Linked DNA regions of Cricetulus griseus. The protein of the gene in region 1 purifies or fractionates together with the protein of each later gene. This does not show direct contact. Links are inferred from orthologs where the notes say so. Each region holds a gene or a part of one and is shown in the gene's direction. Other genes may lie near its edges.

Region 1 (3,500 bases):
TTAGACAAAAGGTTAAATGTCATAGAAGTTCCGTGGCTCAGTTGGACCCTGAGAGATCAGAGGAAGAACACTTAACTTGTTTCTGGACAGCGCTGGTAAACTAGGGTGTGTTAAAAATCCTCTAGAGAACAGCTGCCCAATGGGCTTTATGAAGGATCTACCTTGGCTGCTGAATTAATTACAGGGTCAGAGTATGTTTTTTCCAAAGTGGAATCTTATTCAACCACTAGTTATTTAGAATGACTTTATTAAATACCAGTCGGTAACATATAAAACATAGTATTGTTGATTTTTCCAGATGCTCATTGTGTTGAAATACAAACATCTTTTTTTAAAAAGAAATTTAGAAATGTATCCTAGAAATGTCATTATGTCAGGATTTATGGGTTACTTAAGCACTGTTGCAAATATATTGACATGGCAGACAATATGTAAATGAATCAGCATGGCCATGGCCTAGTAAAATTTTACTTATGGTACTAAAATTTGAATTTCATATAATTTTAATGTTTTCAAAAATATCATTCCTCTTTTGAGTTTTCCCTCACTATTTAGGGGGGAAAAAGTTAGCTCATAGGCAAAATTTGGGCTTTTGTCCAGTTTTAGCTCACAGGGTATACTTTGCTACTACTTACCCTGTGTTACATAAGAAACACTGAAGTCAGGAATTGCAGAAGAGCTTAAATGTACATATATTCCTAGGTCTGACACAAAGCTGAATATTGAGTTCCTGGCTTGAACGAGTTGAGAATCTCATTTAAGCTAGTTTGTTCTGTCAGTGGATTTTTTTTTTTTTTTTTTTTTTTGGTTTTTCGAGACAGGGTTTCTTTGTGTAGTTTTAGAGCCTGTCCTGGCACTCGCTCTGGAGACCAGGCTGGCCTGGAACTCACAGAGATCCGCCTGCCTCTGCCTCCCGGCTATCAGTGGATTTTTAAATGTATTTTATTACAATGTGATTATCCAGTTGTAAATTGATTATATTGGAGAGTAAAATAATCTTACCGAGGCACTATAAATCTTTGCCTTCTTGGGTTTGTGGGCATACTGATCAAACCATATTGGTTTTGAAATATAGTATGAGCCAGGCACTGTGGTGGTGCGCATTTGGAAGGCAGTGGCTGGAGGATCCTTTGAGATTAGAAGTTTGAAATTAGCCTAGGCAACATAGTGAGGGGCAGGTGTGCTAGTCTCAGCTAGGACAGACTCTTGGCTCCGAGGGAGTTCCAGAGAGTTTATCAGTAGCAGCTATTCTAGTCTGTGAAACCTTGAAACTTTGTTCTGTTGTTGCTGTGTTAGGCTCATTGTCTTACTGTTCTATTGCTGTGAAGAGATGCCATGACCAGCATGGCATGGGAACTCTTATAAAGGAAAGCATTTAATTGAGGCTTGCTCGGAGTTTTAGAGGTTTAGTTCTCTAAACCTCTAAATTATCATCATGGGAGCGTGGCAGCATGCAGGTAGACATGTGCTGGAGAAGGAGCCGAGAGTTCTATATTCGATCCATAAGCAGCAGGAAGAAAGAGATACTGGGTTTGGCAACCTCAGAGTCTACTCCCAGTGACACACTCCAACAAGGCCATTCCTATCTCCAACAAGGCCCCTTTAACCCTTCTCAAGAAGTGCCACTCCCTGATGACTAAGCAATCAAATTTGTGGGCCTGTGGGGGCCATTCTTATTCAAACCACCACACTCATTTTCCAGAAAATTTCTTATCACCTTTCTTAAATTTGCTTTTATATATTATATTTTGTTGTCTTTGTTTGTTTGCTTGTTTCTGAGGCAAGGTCTCACTATGTAGCCCTGGCTGGCCTGGAACTTGCTTTGTAGACCAGGCCTCAAACTCATAGAGATCCTTCTGCCTCTGCCTTCCCGGTACCGGGTTTAAAGCCGTGCATCCATGTGCCCAGCCCAGCTTGTTTATGTTTGGGAAACATGGTTTTGCTATGTAGTCCAGACTGACTTAGAAATTGTAAAACTTCATCAGTCTCCTGGATGCAGGTATTATAGGTATGTGCCACCATGCCTGTTTCACTTTTCTATAGGTAGAGATTGTGATACTGGTTTTCATTCCCAGTGTCCTGTACATTCCTTTTTGTATGTACAAAATCTGTCACACTAATTTTTGAGTTTGTGTTCTTATGTTCTGCTGTTGAGTTCTGTTCACTGTTCTTTTCTGAGGAAGGAGGAGGAGAAATAAGAGCCTGACTATGTACTCCAGGTGCTTTTAGACCTCGAACCTCTAGCCAATGATGAAAGCCGTGTGTGCTACCACAACAGGTTCTTTATTGTTAACCACATTAAGGTTTAAGTAGACACTTGTAACTCTATGTACTGTGAGGCTTTAATGCTCATACATTTTTAAAAGATTATTATTACCATATTAAGACAAGGTCTCATTATGTAGTCCTGACTGGCCTCGAGCTCACAAAGATCCACCTGCCTCTGCCTTCAAAGTGCTGAGACTAAAGGTCAGGTGGGATTTTGAGTACTTTTATATATTGGTTTCAGGATTTTAGAAGAACAGTGAAACACAAGAACAGTTTTAAGTATTAGGGTAAAGTTTTATAACCAAGTTAAAATGAATTTTTAGTACACCCAGTTTATGATTGTTTTTTTTTAAATCAATTTTTTTTTTTTTTTTTTTTCCAGACAGGGTTTCTCTGGGTAGCTTTGGAGCCTATCCTGGCACTCGCTCTAGAGACCAGGTTGGCCTCGAACTCACAGAGATCCGACTGCCTCTGCCTCCCAAGTGCTGGGATTAAAGGCATGTGTCACCACCACCTGGTTTAAAATCAATTTTTAAAAATGACCTTTCAAATGCTTCTGTTCTTTGTAGTGGAAGTAGTGGAGGAAGTGGAAGCCGAGAAAACAGTGGGAGCAGTAGTATTGGCATTCCCATTGCTGTGCCTACGCCTTCACCTCCCACTGCCGGCCCAGGTATGTTGTTCAGTACTCTCAGGGTTAGTGTGTGATACTTGTTAACTTTGTAAGGGAAGCTAAAATAACTGATTCATTTTGGCTAAAAATTATTTACTGGATTGTGGCTATAGCTATAATAAAGGCTAATTAATAACAAGTATATTTTTAGATTAATTTTCACAAACTTGGGGTTTTATCAGCTGTATGTATATGATACAGAGAAATAGTTTTGTTAGGTCAGTTTTTAGCCATTTTGCTTTTAGCTATACTTGTCTTTGTAAATAGTTAAGATTGATGTTTATTATTTCAAAAGCAAATCAATATTGTATATTTCATTTAGAAGGTCAGTATTGCTAAACTAATGTATTTGTGACTTTCTTATTTATATATGAGAATCAGCACCTATTTTAGTGAAATGCAGTGACTGTAAGATGAGATTTAAAAATAGGAAAACTTATTTTACCTTTTTAGAAAGTAAAGGCATTCTGGGAGAACATTCGGTTAACACTTTGGAGTTTAGTCAGTAAAATGGAGACTTTTTTTGAGATAAATTATTTCTGTGTAGTCCAGGCTGTCCAGA
Region 2 (4,211 bases), on another chromosome or scaffold:
CTTATTCTTTACCATGGTTATTTCCCCCTCCCAGTGTTCAATCCAATCTGTAACTACATTTTTGTCCACATCTAATTGATTCCAGTATGCACTAATGCTCCCAGTATGTTCGGTTTTGTTGGCCTCTGTGGCTTTCAGTCCTGTTGTTTCTGGAAAATGATACGTGCTTAATAAAGAACTACATAGCTGGGTTTTTTCCTTTATCACCTTCCTTCATTGGGTCCATGCATGCTACTTCTTAAAGCTTATGCCCCTTTCCCACTCGTTGTATTAACATATACAATCACAAATAGCTAGCATGTATTGCCCTCTTACTAGATTATTAGGCTCTGTGTTATATAAACTTTACTATATAATTTCACTTAATCTTTACAATAACCCCCCGGTATAGGTAAGTTTTTAAACAACTATCTCCATTATACAAGAGGAAGTTGTATAATTTGCAAGTAGTGAAGCCAGGATTCGAGACTAGTTTCTTAAAAACAAAACAGTGCCTGGCCACGGCTCGCTTCTGGTGAGGGCACAAATTCTAGTTAGGAAGTCCTGATGCGCTTTTAGCTATGTTCTAAACTTCTGCTCTAATAAGACTACGTCCTAGCCTAGAATTCAAACTTTCTTCCCCTCTTGGACCACTTTTATGCGATGGAGACAGCAGAGGGGTAGTGGAGGAAGATGTGGGACGACGCGTAAACGCTAGTAATTTACTTCTCAGCACCTCACCGGAGACGAGCGGTTTGGGATCTGAAACCAATTCCCGCACCCATCAGTGACCAAAACACTTACCTTAACCGCCACCTCCGGAGCCGAATCTACCGCCACTGTCAGAGAGGGCTTGGCTGAAGGCGATTTGGTCAGGTGCATGAGAGAGTCGGCGGCTGGCAGCGGACACCGACTGCCCTCACTGTCCGAGTCCGATTCGGACCCTGAACCCGAGCCATACGAAGCAGCTAGAGCTGCAATCGCAGCGGACATGACTGCAACAGATCCTCTCTGCTGTGGTCAGGCCAGGGCGGAAGAAGCAGCGACTCCCAGGTCCTGACAGATTGCCAAGGAACACTTTATTTACCTTCTTTAACAAAAAATCATTTATAACTTCCTGAAAAAAATATAATGATTATTACTCTGACTGCATCAGTATCTGAGACTCGCAAACATTAATCTAGATAAGCACAAGGAATTACAACTACTTATAACTTTCAGGACCTCGTTGATTAAAGCCCCACAGTTCTGAGATACCTTTGAAGCCTCGAGGTCCTCCACTCCCGGCGTGCAGAGCGGTGGGAAGCGCGAGGCACCATGGGAATTGTAGTTTGGAGGGAGGAGGCGGAGCCGGGCTGAGGGGTCGGCCTTCGACCCCGCCCCCAAAGGATGGTTCATTCAATTGGATATCATCTTCCCTCATTCCCTAGCCCAGCATCGTTCTCTGCGGCCCCCTCCCCCAAAGTGCGGATTGGGCAATACCACGGAGCCTCAGGACAGGGGGAAGCTCCGTCCTCTTGCCCACGGACGAGTACGTGAGCGGAGGCTGAGTCTCCCGCCCTGCGACCCTACGCCCTGCGGGACTCAAGGGGACAGTGCGAATCTTCAGTTCGGAGACCTGGGGCCCGCCTGGCGCAGCTCCGGGGGAAGGTTGTGGGGCGAGGCGGAGAGCGCCCCGCGGCTCCCCCTGCTGCAGGCGCGGGTCCCCGCGCCCGGTTGTGGAGCGTCGCGCGGGGAGGGGGCGGCGCAGGGCAGCGGCGGCTCGCGGTGTTGTTCGCTCGCGCGTCGCGCGCACCGCGGCTCGGGCCATCAGTGGCGCCCCCGGCGGCATTCCCGGCGGCCCGGCGCCCCAGCCAGTGCCCGGCGCGGCTTCCACCCCGCGGCCCGGCGCTCCCGAGGGGCTCTCGGTGAAGTCCCAGCGCGGAGCGGGACCGGCGACCGCCGCCGAAGCATGAAGAAGGGGTAAGGCGCGAGCCCCCCACGGTTTCTCGGTGAGCACGAGTCTGTCAGGATTTTGTCCCCTTTCTTCCCCGGGTCCTGGCAGGGGAACTGCTCTCCATCGGCCGGAGCCGAGAGGGGCGTGTGTGGGAGCCCGGGTCTGCGGCCGCGGCGGCGGCGATGATGGGCGCGCCGCCCGCCCCCGCCCCCATCCCGGGCTCCCCCGCGCCCGCCGCCTAGCAGCCCGGGCTGCGCGTGGAGGACGAGGGCGCGGGTCTCGGCTGTGGGGACCAGCCCGAGGCTGCTCCGGGTGCAGCGGCGGCGGCGGCGGCGGCTCTCACCTGCGGTGCCGTGCGGTCCGGGGCGCGCGGCTCCCACCCCGCCGCCGCTTCGCCCTCGTGCCTCGGCGCCGGCCAAGGCTGCAGCCCACCGCGGAGCCCCGGCTCGCCCTGTGTGCCTGCCGCTCTGAAAAGCGAGCTCTGGCCGCGCGTCTTCGCGCCGCGGCTCCCCGTGCACGACAGCGGTAAAGCGGTAAAGCGAGTGCGGGTATCCCTTTATTTTCCCGTGTGGAAGAGAAGCGGTTGCCGTCTCTTCTGATGCCTGGGAATCGGGAGGTTCCTCGGGCAGAGTTAGGGAGATGCTCGCCGGGCTCTGATGTCGGCAGGACTCGCCCATTGTGCCACCCAGATAATTATTCAACTATGCAGCATCCATTGCACCTTTCCCATTTTTCTTTTCCCCTAGCTACAGCATGCCCCCTAGCTTCCGTACTCCGACACCTTCTCTTGCACTTGCGGATGATGAACTAGAATAATGGTGAAAAGAGAGCTCATCCGATCCGAACATTCACGATCTGCCCTGTGACCGACTAATTGATTAATACCTAGCTAGAATAGGTATTTGAATACTACTCATTCTGACCTTATCCTTGACTATACGAAATGTGCCTGAGGCTCTAATTACATCTTTTTCTTGATGTTCACAAATTAGCGAAGTCTTGTTTCTGTTCAGTAATCGTTGTGATTAATTTTCAATAGTTGTTTAGTCCATTGATGTTTATAAATTTAATTTGGTAAACTTTAACTTTTCTAATTGCTGATATCGGCGTAACACAATTAACAAATGCAATCCCAGTTGGAACTCGAAGGAACAGTTTATCCCTGATGATCCAAGTTTCTGCTGGAAATCATTTTTATTTTGAATATTTTAATAAAGTAGTTAATACACATTTTTTGTTTTGAATAATGAAAGTTTTGTATTTCGTATTTGTGAAATTTGATTACTAATCATAGCCTTTATTTGAACGAAAGGAAGAATTTAATTTTTAAGGGGGATCTTAATCCTTAACTTACTTGGATTTTACTTCTCACTTAGCTAATTTTACAGTATATTTTATTACTGTTGCAGTTTTTTCCCTTATTCTTTTCTGACTTTTATTGTGGATGAGTAGATCCAGTTTTGCATACTCTACTTTAAGGATGAAATATGATTTTGAAAACATAAGAAACAAACATTAGTTACTTACAACTTAAGTGGTATTATTTAGAAACAAATTGTTAACTACCAGAAACATCTTTTTTTCCCTTTTTGTCATCCTTCCCATCTTTTTGTGTTTAAGTTTGTTTTGATAAAAACAGGGTTACACACAGGCAATGCAAGAGTTTGAAGGTGCATTAATAGTTTAATGGCACTTGTGAGTGGCATACATATAAATTGTTGGTGTAGAGTCATTTTTCACAAGATATTAGGCATTATTTCAGAGAAGATAGTTTCATAGTATTTTTTAACTAATTTTAAGTACTTTAATTGCTGAATCATGAAAATGCTTCAGTATGTTTTTCCATGGCACTCAAAAATGGCTGGTTTACATTTGATGTTGCTAGTGGTTTTTAATTTAGGCTTCATGCATACATACAATAATTACAGATACACTGATAAAATGACTGGTAACAAGTAGAATACTGAATTAAATTCATGAAGAGTCTAGAAAATATTGAAGGTCTTTTGGTTTAAAATTTTTGGCTAATGGAATTTATAACTGTGATCACTTGAAAGATAGGTCAGCTTTATCACTAGGGTTCATAAATGCCCATGTATTGAGAGATGGTGCATTACTGTAGTATAATACTATAGTTTTTGTTTAATTTTAAGAATATTTTAAGATATCTTTTCCAAAGGCTTAACCTTCATGTTAACAGTAGAGGATATATGTGGTTTCCTTGTTGAAAGATTAATCCCTTCCTTTTCACAGCAAAAACTACTATTGAAAGACTATATCCTTACAGTCTTTACTT
Region 3 (4,154 bases), on another chromosome or scaffold:
GATTTGGGGACACAGCAGCATGAGGAGCTGTGTTAAAGGGTGGCATGAGATAAGTCTTCACCCTCAGCTCCACGGGGGATGATTGAAGGAAACCTTCCAAGGAAGATAGATGCAGGCAGGTGGAGTCTGGAGCCAGGGAAAAAGCCAACTGTGGCTAGGTGTCCCGCGAGCCAGGACACATGCTGGCCCCGGAGACACAGTCATATTTGATCTCCTGTTACACACACACACACACACACACACACACACACACACACACACACACACGGTGACAGAGCTATATGAACAAGTGACCCAACCACTCCACACCTTAACTTCCTCACTGGTCAATAGGAAATCTACCCCACCCCACCCCCAGGGCCTCCGAGGACTCTCAGACATATTTGAGGAGGAGCTTTTCACTCAGGTGTGTGACAGCAAATTGTTGTTGTTATTAGTCTGTTGTTACAACGGAAACACACATGATTTCCGGGATCCCCTGCGGGCCAACCCAGCCCCCGCTCACACGCACGCACTTGAGACTGTGTGCCAGCCCCGCCCCTGAGGCACCTCGGGCCAGCAGTGCCAGGTGAGCGCTCAGGTATGCCGGTGCCTGTGCAAGGCCTGGGAGGAGGCAGGAGGAGGAGTCCGGACTACAAGGGAGGGAGAAGCTGAGAGCCAGACAGAACCAGCAGGCAGGTGAGGAGGCCAGACCCCGGAGAGAGGGAGGAGGGAGACCTGGGGGCTGGATACCTGGACCTGAGGGACCAGAGCTGGAGCCTGGACCCCTGGGTCTGAGGGAGCAGAGCTTGGGTCCCTGGGTATGAGGGAAGAGAGCTGAGGTCTAGACTCTTAGATAGGAGATAAGTCTTAGAAGACTTATCTCCTGCACCCCCAGATCTCAGCAAGGAGGCTTGGAGGCTAGAGTCTTGCATCTGAGAGATAAGGTCCGCCCTGGACCCCTGGGTCTGAACCAGGAGGTCTGAGGTCTAGACTCTTGTATCTGAGGGATAATGTTCTCTCTGGCCCCCTGAATCTGAGGGGAAACGGCTGGGGCTTGGTAATCTGGGTATGAGAAAGGAGCAGACTGGGGAGGTCTGGACTTGAGGGTCTCTTCAGGAAGAGAGTGGAGCCTACCTAGACTCCTAAGGAAAGAGGTCCCCTGGGTGAAGGGGAAACGTCAAGTCTTAATTCCTGGGCCTGAAGCAGGGATCCCTGGGTCCAAAGCAGCCAGGCTGGGGCCTGGGCAACTAGGTCTGAGGGAGGAAGGAGGGTTGAGCCAGGGTCAAGTCACCGAGCCAAGTCAGTGACTCACGTCTTTGCCGGCTCTCAAGGCACCTACCTCCAGGTGGACAGAGCACCTCATCCTGCCACCATGAACACCACCACGGGGTAAGTGGCCCCTGTGCCCCGCCAGCCCTCGCCCCTCCAACCCTTCCCCCACACCTGCCGATCCTGTTTCTACAACCCAGGCTCTACACACTGGGAGGAATGCTCCCCTCCCTGCCCAGCCTGTGGTCAGGCACAGACAGAAGGGCTTTGGTTGGAATATGCATAGCGTGTCACAGTGTGGCATGCCACCGCCTGGAACCCAGCCCCTCCCCTGGATAAATGGGAATGGGGACCTATTTTGAGAGCTGACAGGACTCAGCCAGCTGTTTGGCCATTCCCGCAGTAGGCACTCGGGCCTTTGGGAACTGTCATTTCTCTCCCATCCTGATCTTAGTATTAAACATCGGCCCTCTGCTAGAAAAGCATGAGGACAGTGCAGACTCGAATCTCCCGGAGAGAGTGGGCAGGAAGACAAAGGGGGTAGAAACGAAACCATTGAGTAGAGACATGCCACAAGCAGGATCCAGGTAAACGGCAGGAGTCTCACTAAACCTGACTGCCTGCCTAGCTCTGGCCCGCTGTTATTCTCATAGAAAGGGGGATTTAAGAAATTACAGGGGGAGGGGTGGCTGAGCAAGGAGAGTGCTTGCCTAGCATGTGTGAAACACGGGGGTCTAATCCACTGCACCGATACAACGTTAATCCCAGCACTCAAGGGGCAGAGGCAGAGGCTGGCAGAGCTCTGCAAGTTCAAGGCCAGCCTGGTGTACATAGCAAGTTCTGGGCCAGCTAGGGATCCGTAGTGAGGCCCTGTTTCAAAACACATCTAAATAAATTAACCAGTCTGAGCCGGGCGTTGGTGGCCCACGCCTTGAATCCCAGCACTCGGGAGGCAGAGGCAGGCGGATCCCTGCGAGTTCGAGGCCAGCCTGGTCTCCAGAGCGAGTTCCAGGACAGGCTCCAAAGCTACACAGAGAAACCCTGTCTCAAAAAACCAAAAAATAAAAATAAAAAATAATCAGTCTGGAGGATTATGCCTATATTCCAGTACTGAGGATATGAAAAGGCAGGAATATCAGGAGTTCAAAGTCATCTTCAACTTTGGGACCAGCCTGGCCTGCATGTGACTGTCTCAACAAAAGAGAATTATTGCAAGTGGTAATTTTTAAAAAAAAAACTTTATTTACTTATTATGCATACAGTTATCTGCATGCATGCTTGCACACCAGATCTCATTACAGATGGCTGTGAACCACCATGTGGTTGCTGGGTATTGAACTCAGGACCTCTGGAAGAGCAGCCAATGCTCTTAACCTCTGAGCCATCTCTCCAGCCCTGCAAGTGGTAATTTTAAGAGGAGACTGAAGACACTTGCCTGGGAAGACTTGAACCATGGCACGAGGGAAAGGAGATAATTCCAAGCGTACTCTGGCTACTGAAAGTCGTTGTATCAATTCCCATTTATCCTTGGTTGGGAGACTAGCCTTTCACGGCTGAGCCATCTCTCCAGCCCTCAATTCCCATTTATTGAGCAACCACTGTGTGCTAAACCCTGACCAAAATCAGATTATTAATCATTACTGAGACTAAAAAAATATTTCACCTACTGGGCTGAATTTATACAACGACGACACCAGGTAGACACTGATATGTTACAGGAAGGGAAACTGCAGTTGGAAAGATTAAGTCCCCTTACCAGGGTCTTGTCAGGGTGTTTTTTTTTTTTTGTAGGTTTATTTTTATTTATGTCTGTCTGTCTGTCTGTCTGTCTGTCTGTCTGTCTGTGTGTTTGTGCACATGAGTGTGGTGCCTGCAGAGGTCAGAAGAGAGCGTTGCATCTCCTGGAGCTGGAGTTGCAGGCAGTTGTGAGCTGCCTGACGTATGTGTTGGGAACTGAACTGCTCAGCCATCTCTCCAGCCCCGAGGTCTTAGTTGTTTGTGTTAGTTGGGGTTTTGTTTTGTTTTCTGTTGTTTGTTCTGTTTACAGGATCTTGCTCTTGTTTTTATATTTCAAGACAGGGTCTCACTATGTAGCCCAGGCTGGCCTCAAACATATAGAAATCTCTGTCTCCTGAGTGTGTACTGGGATGACGAGTGTGCACCAATCACGCCAGACTCTGCTCTTTATCTCTGTGTTGGTCAATGTTCTCTATAGGGACAGGACTGGTAGAATGGACACACACACACACACACACACACACACACACACACACACGCGCGCGCGCACGACTTATTGGAATGGCTTACAGGCTGTGGTCTGGGTAGCCCAACAATGCTGTCTCATGACAGAAGGGCCAAGAATCCAGTCCATGTTCAGTTTCCAAGGCCCGATTTGTGAGCAGTCCCAGTCTGGTGCTGGAGTCCCAGGAATTCCTAGAGAGCCGCTGGTCTTTGCTCTACATTGGAATCCCAAAGAAGTGTGTTCTAATATCAGTGAAGGAATGCCTCAGTGACAGGATAGACGAGCCTGCCAGAGAGAGTTCGGGCAAGCAGGCAAAAAGCAGGAGTTTTCTACTTCCCTGTCCTGGGTGGGATCCAGGGTTAGGATGGGTCTCCCCACCTCAAATGATCCTACTGAGAAAATCCCTCATAGGCATGCCCAGATTTGAGTTGACTCCAGTTGTAGTCAAGTTGACAGCCAGAATTAGCCAGCAGTCTTTTTTTAGTTGTATATGTCCCTCTGTCCTTCCCTCTGCCTGTGTGTGTGTGTGTGTGTGTGTGTGTGTGTGTGTGTGTGTGTATTTCTGTGTCTGTCTGTCTCTCTGTCTCTATCTGTGTCTCTTTCTATCTCTATGTGAGTCTCTGTGCGTCTATCTGTCTCTGTCTGTGTGTCTGTCTTTTTG
Region 4 (4,170 bases), on another chromosome or scaffold:
TGTGTGTGTGTGTGTGTGTGTGTGTGTGTGTGTAAGAGGACACTAGATTCCCTAAGTAATTACCATTTCTGTTTGAATCACTCCATAGTTGTGAGTAGTTTTGTGGGCTTATAAGTTTTCAAAGGAGTGATTTGGGGGATTCTAATCTGCACTGTTGATGCTCTCACCATGTTGTTGGTTTTGTTTCACTTGGGGGGATGCAGTTTGAGATCAGTCTCACTTTGTAACCAGACAGGCCTTCAACTTGCTATGTAACCCAAACTAGCCTCAAAGTCATTGAGTCCTCTGCCTCAGTCTCCTAAGTGCTAGGATTGCATGCAAGCATCACCACACCTGATTTAGCATATCATTTTTGGAGGCTACTTGTGGGAACCCAATTTATACACTAAATCATACATTATAAGTCTTTAATTTCGCATGTAATTTGGGGTTTACAAAATGAATCTTCTGCTTGCACAGTGCTGTGTTCTTAAAATAGCAACTAACTTGAGTTGGTTAACTGCCCTGCTCAGTCCTTTCTGCTTCACTGCCTTGCAGTTTCCCTCCAACCAGCCGCATTCTGCCTGGGTTCAAGACACAGAAATATCTATTAAGGGCTGATTGCTTTGGCGTGATTCATAAAATGTCCTCAGACCAAGGGACACACTGCAGCTTCACCATTGCTTCAAGCAGGCTGGTTTGCAGGAGTTGACAACTGTACAGACCCTGCTTAACTAGCCTATAAAATCTAGGTGTAGGTCTCCTTGGTTGTCCTGGCTGTTCAGTCATGGATATTTATCCTGTACCGGTATCTAAGAAAGGAACTGATGAATGTCCTTATGACAGGAGGCCTGTGTCCCCATGCCCAGCATCAATCCAGATTCTTTACCCTTGCTTACTTGACTGTGTGGGTGTCACATTACTTCTCAGAGCTGTGTTTCTTTACTGCTTGTGTGTTGGCAGAATCCAACTCTGCATGCCGGTAGAAAATGGTTGTGGTAAGGCTCAGCCAAGATATTTATTATTTATGTGTGTTCATGATGTGGTATTGTGGCATTTCATGTTAAGGTGGGTGTGTGCAGGTCAGAGGACAACTTGGGGGAATCTTTTCTCTCCTTTCACCATGTGTGGGTCCCAGGGATGGAACTCTGGGTCATCTGGCTTAGCGGCAAGTGCTTTACCCACTGAGCCATCTCACCAGCCCTGATCCTCAAATTTTAAAGGTGTAGATAGAAGACATCTGTGAGAGTAGCCTACATGACTCTTAACCCTCTCCACTCTCCACACGGAGTTTGGATAGGGTGAGGCCAAAGGAAATATTTGGAGGACCCTGAAATTCTCCCTTGTCCTTTTCTTCCTCCCTATCAGCGTGGAAGACAGACACCGCAGTCATGACCACCCACGTCACTTTGGAAGATGCCCTGTCCAATGTGGACCTGCTGGAGGAACTGCCCCTCCCAGACCAGCAGCCATGCATCGAGCCCCCGCCATCCTCCATCATGTACCAGGTAATGGAAATGGCAGCATGCAATGGAGAAACCTAGATTCTAGAGTTCCTCTAAGAGGACCTGCCCTGGAGTGTAGGGAAGGTGAAAGGGCAGGAGCTGATGGATCTCCTATGCACTATAAGAACCCAGCAGAAGGAATAGATTAACTAATAAATGTGTGCCAGGTTCATGTCCCTCCCCTAGGGAGCGTTTGTTGATCTGTTCTAACCCTAAATTCCTTCTGGGCTGTTCCTGTTGTTGCATCACCCAGGTTATGGCATCCCTAAGCTCATGAATTAAATATCACAATTTGGAAGCCTCTGGAGCCTGCCTGGATAATTGCTTTTCCTGAATATGTATGGCAAGAGCTCACACAAGTCCACACAGCAGCCAGTGGCTCAGGGAAGTGGATCACAGTTATTTGCTTTGGCCCTAAATCAGATCTGGTGATAAGCCACCATCCCATTACACAGAGCTATGACCCTGGCAGGCCTAGTGAGGAGGGCATCCATGCACCTGGAAGCAGCCTGGCCAAAGCCCCTTGTCTGGGTGTACCAGGCTGAATGCCATGTTAAAAAGGAATGTGTTAGTTTGGAAATTGGGGCTGTATTAGACCTTTTTGATAAGTCTTGGATGGTGAACTATGACTAAGTATAATTCTATGTTTTTCATTTCACTCAATAGTTAAATGAATCTTCACATACTTGAATATTCAGTTCCTAAATCTGATGTATTTGTAGATTTTAACACAGATTACAATTTTAATTATATAAGTATATATTGATTTTAGTTTTATAGGGAAACATTTTCATCATTAACAAAATGGAAAAGTACAGCATGGAAATAAATGTCTTATACTGATATACCCTTCTCTGTATACATAGGCATTTTGTTTTAGTAGATATATATGGTATATGAACTATTTCTTTTACTAAAAACAGGAATTCATGATATGTATTTAAATGTAAATATAGAAAAACTGTCCTGATTCATCTTTTCCTTAACATTTATTGTGGAGCCAGGCGTGGTGGCTCACAGATGTAATCCCAGCATTCTGGAAGCTGGGGAAAAAGGATTGCGGTGAGTCCGAGGCTAGCCTGGGCTACAGAAAGAGCCTCTGTCTCAAAAATCACAGCAGCAAACACTTCTATGGATATCGTTGGACATCAGTGCTGTGGTAATGCCACCTTACGTTCAAGCAGCTCATGCTTCTTCCAGCCCATTGTACAGAAAGACTGTCATCTACTTCAGCTTTTGCTGGCTGGTTTCATTGTTTCCAGGTGGTTGTTTCATTGTAAAAACTGTGTGCTGGCTGACACAGCTACATCTGCGCACCCTCAGGCACCCTGAGGCACGTGTGTATGAATGGCTGGATCAAAGCCATGCACACCTTGACTTTTAGCAGCTGTTTGGACTTGCATAGTTTGCTGGAAGTATGCTTTCCTTGTGCTGGGGCTTTTATTCATCACAACAAGCATATAAACCAGATTAATTTTAAGGCACTTTTCACAAGAATAAATTGGCCAAGTTTATTAGTTAATCCCAACTAACTGGAATTAAAAAGAGTCAATTCGGAATTAAACATTTACTTCTGAGGCTTGGTTGAGCGAAACCGGTCACCTGTGAAAAATAGGTGCTGCCCATTGGCCCTCAGCTGATTTGAGGTGTTAAGGGGTAATATTTGAAAGCCATGGGCAGTAGATTTCCACAGAAAGCTTGTGATTTTTGTTGGTGGCTGTTCACTCCCTAGACATCCAGCCAGCTTAGATGTGTTTTCCAATAATCAAGTGCCCCCTTCTGTCCTCTACCTCGATAGGCTAACTTTGACACGAACTTCGAAGACAGGAATGCATTTGTCACGGGCATTGCAAGGTACATTGAGCAGGCAACGGTCCACTCCAGCATGGTAAGTCTCCATGACCCACATGTGCAGACTCACACCCTGCTGACGCAGGAGGAACCATGTGCAGCTCCCCACAGCAGGCCTGGGCTTAGCTACCCCAATATGCTCCGCCTTAGTGAGCTGGGTTATGGAAGTCCATTCTGGAACCCAGACCCATCCCCTCTCTATGCCTTGGGGCATACTCCATGCCTTGCTCATCTTGCTCACTGTAGGCCCATCTGAACCCCACTGCTCACTTCCCCAAGGCCAGGGCTTTTTATGTACACAGATTTGGGGATGGGGGCGGACATTGTTTGGTCACTTGACAAGGAAAAAAATATCCTTATAAAAATGACAAGTGAGGCCTGGTGGTGGTGGCACATGCCTTTAATCCCAGCACATGGAAGGCAGAGGCAGACAGAACTCTATGAGTTCGAGACCAGCCTGGTCTACAAGAGCTAGTTCCAGGGCAGCCTCCAAAGCCACAGAGAAACTCTGTCTGAAACCCCCCCCTCAAAAAAAATGGCAAGTGAGGTGGCTTTGGAAAATGTCATTTATTGATTCAAGGGAGCTGCTAGCCTAAATCATTCATAAATGGAGCCATTTGTTTTCCTTCTCAGGGTCTGACCCTAAGAGGGTGATTTCTCCTCTCTCTTTTTATCTACAGTGAAGTTTTCAGAATTCTGGGTTCCTTGTCCAAAGGCCCCCGCCCTGGACCCTTCTCACTGTGTGGATTATGTTCTAAAGACCCAACTCATTCATTGACTATTGTGTGTCTGCTGTGAGCTGATTCGAGAATTAGTCTGGGGCCAGTCTCAGTTT

Evidence for each region. The genes of interacting proteins can lie anywhere in the genome.
Region 2: the proteins of Abi1 (region 1) and Wasf1 purify together in Homo sapiens (affinity purification with mass spectrometry; 6 studies listed by BioGRID and IntAct, with this or other methods). This does not show direct contact. The link is inferred for Cricetulus griseus from reciprocal best matches to the Homo sapiens genes ABI1 and WASF1.
Region 3: the proteins of Abi1 (region 1) and epidermal growth factor receptor kinase substrate 8-like protein 1 purify together in Homo sapiens (co-immunoprecipitation; 4 studies listed by BioGRID and IntAct, with this or other methods). This does not show direct contact. The link is inferred for Cricetulus griseus from reciprocal best matches to the Homo sapiens genes ABI1 and EPS8L1.
Region 4: the proteins of Abi1 (region 1) and Cyfip2 purify together in Homo sapiens (co-immunoprecipitation; 4 studies listed by BioGRID and IntAct, with this or other methods). This does not show direct contact. The link is inferred for Cricetulus griseus from reciprocal best matches to the Homo sapiens genes ABI1 and CYFIP2.

The regions. Positions count from the first base shown.
Region 1 is NC_048596.1:211,226,103-211,229,602, forward strand, and holds part of Abi1 (abl interactor 1), read left to right. Parts: intron 1-2,837; coding exon 2,838-2,938; intron 2,939-3,500. UniProt on the Homo sapiens protein: May act in negative regulation of cell growth and transformation by interacting with nonreceptor tyrosine kinases ABL1 and/or ABL2. May play a role in regulation of EGF-induced Erk pathway activation. Involved in cytoskeletal reorganization and EGFR signaling.
Region 2 is NC_048595.1:263,394,716-263,398,926, forward strand, and holds the start of Wasf1 (wiskott-Aldrich syndrome protein family member 1), read left to right. Parts: upstream 1-1,411; 5' UTR 1,412-1,970; intron 1,971-4,211. Other genes in the region: Cdc40 (pre-mRNA-processing factor 17), read right to left, coding at 784-972.
Region 3 is NC_048602.1:23,143,755-23,147,908, forward strand, and holds the start of epidermal growth factor receptor kinase substrate 8-like protein 1, read left to right. Parts: upstream 1-1,354; coding exon 1,355-1,371; intron 1,372-4,154. UniProt on the Homo sapiens protein: Stimulates guanine exchange activity of SOS1. May play a role in membrane ruffling and remodeling of the actin cytoskeleton.
Region 4 is NC_048600.1:60,846,627-60,850,796, reverse strand, and holds the start of Cyfip2 (cytoplasmic FMR1-interacting protein 2), read left to right. Parts: upstream 1-1,370; coding exon 1,371-1,487; intron 1,488-3,282; coding exon 3,283-3,372; intron 3,373-4,170. UniProt on the Homo sapiens protein: Involved in T-cell adhesion and p53/TP53-dependent induction of apoptosis. Does not bind RNA. As component of the WAVE1 complex, required for BDNF-NTRK2 endocytic trafficking and signaling from early endosomes.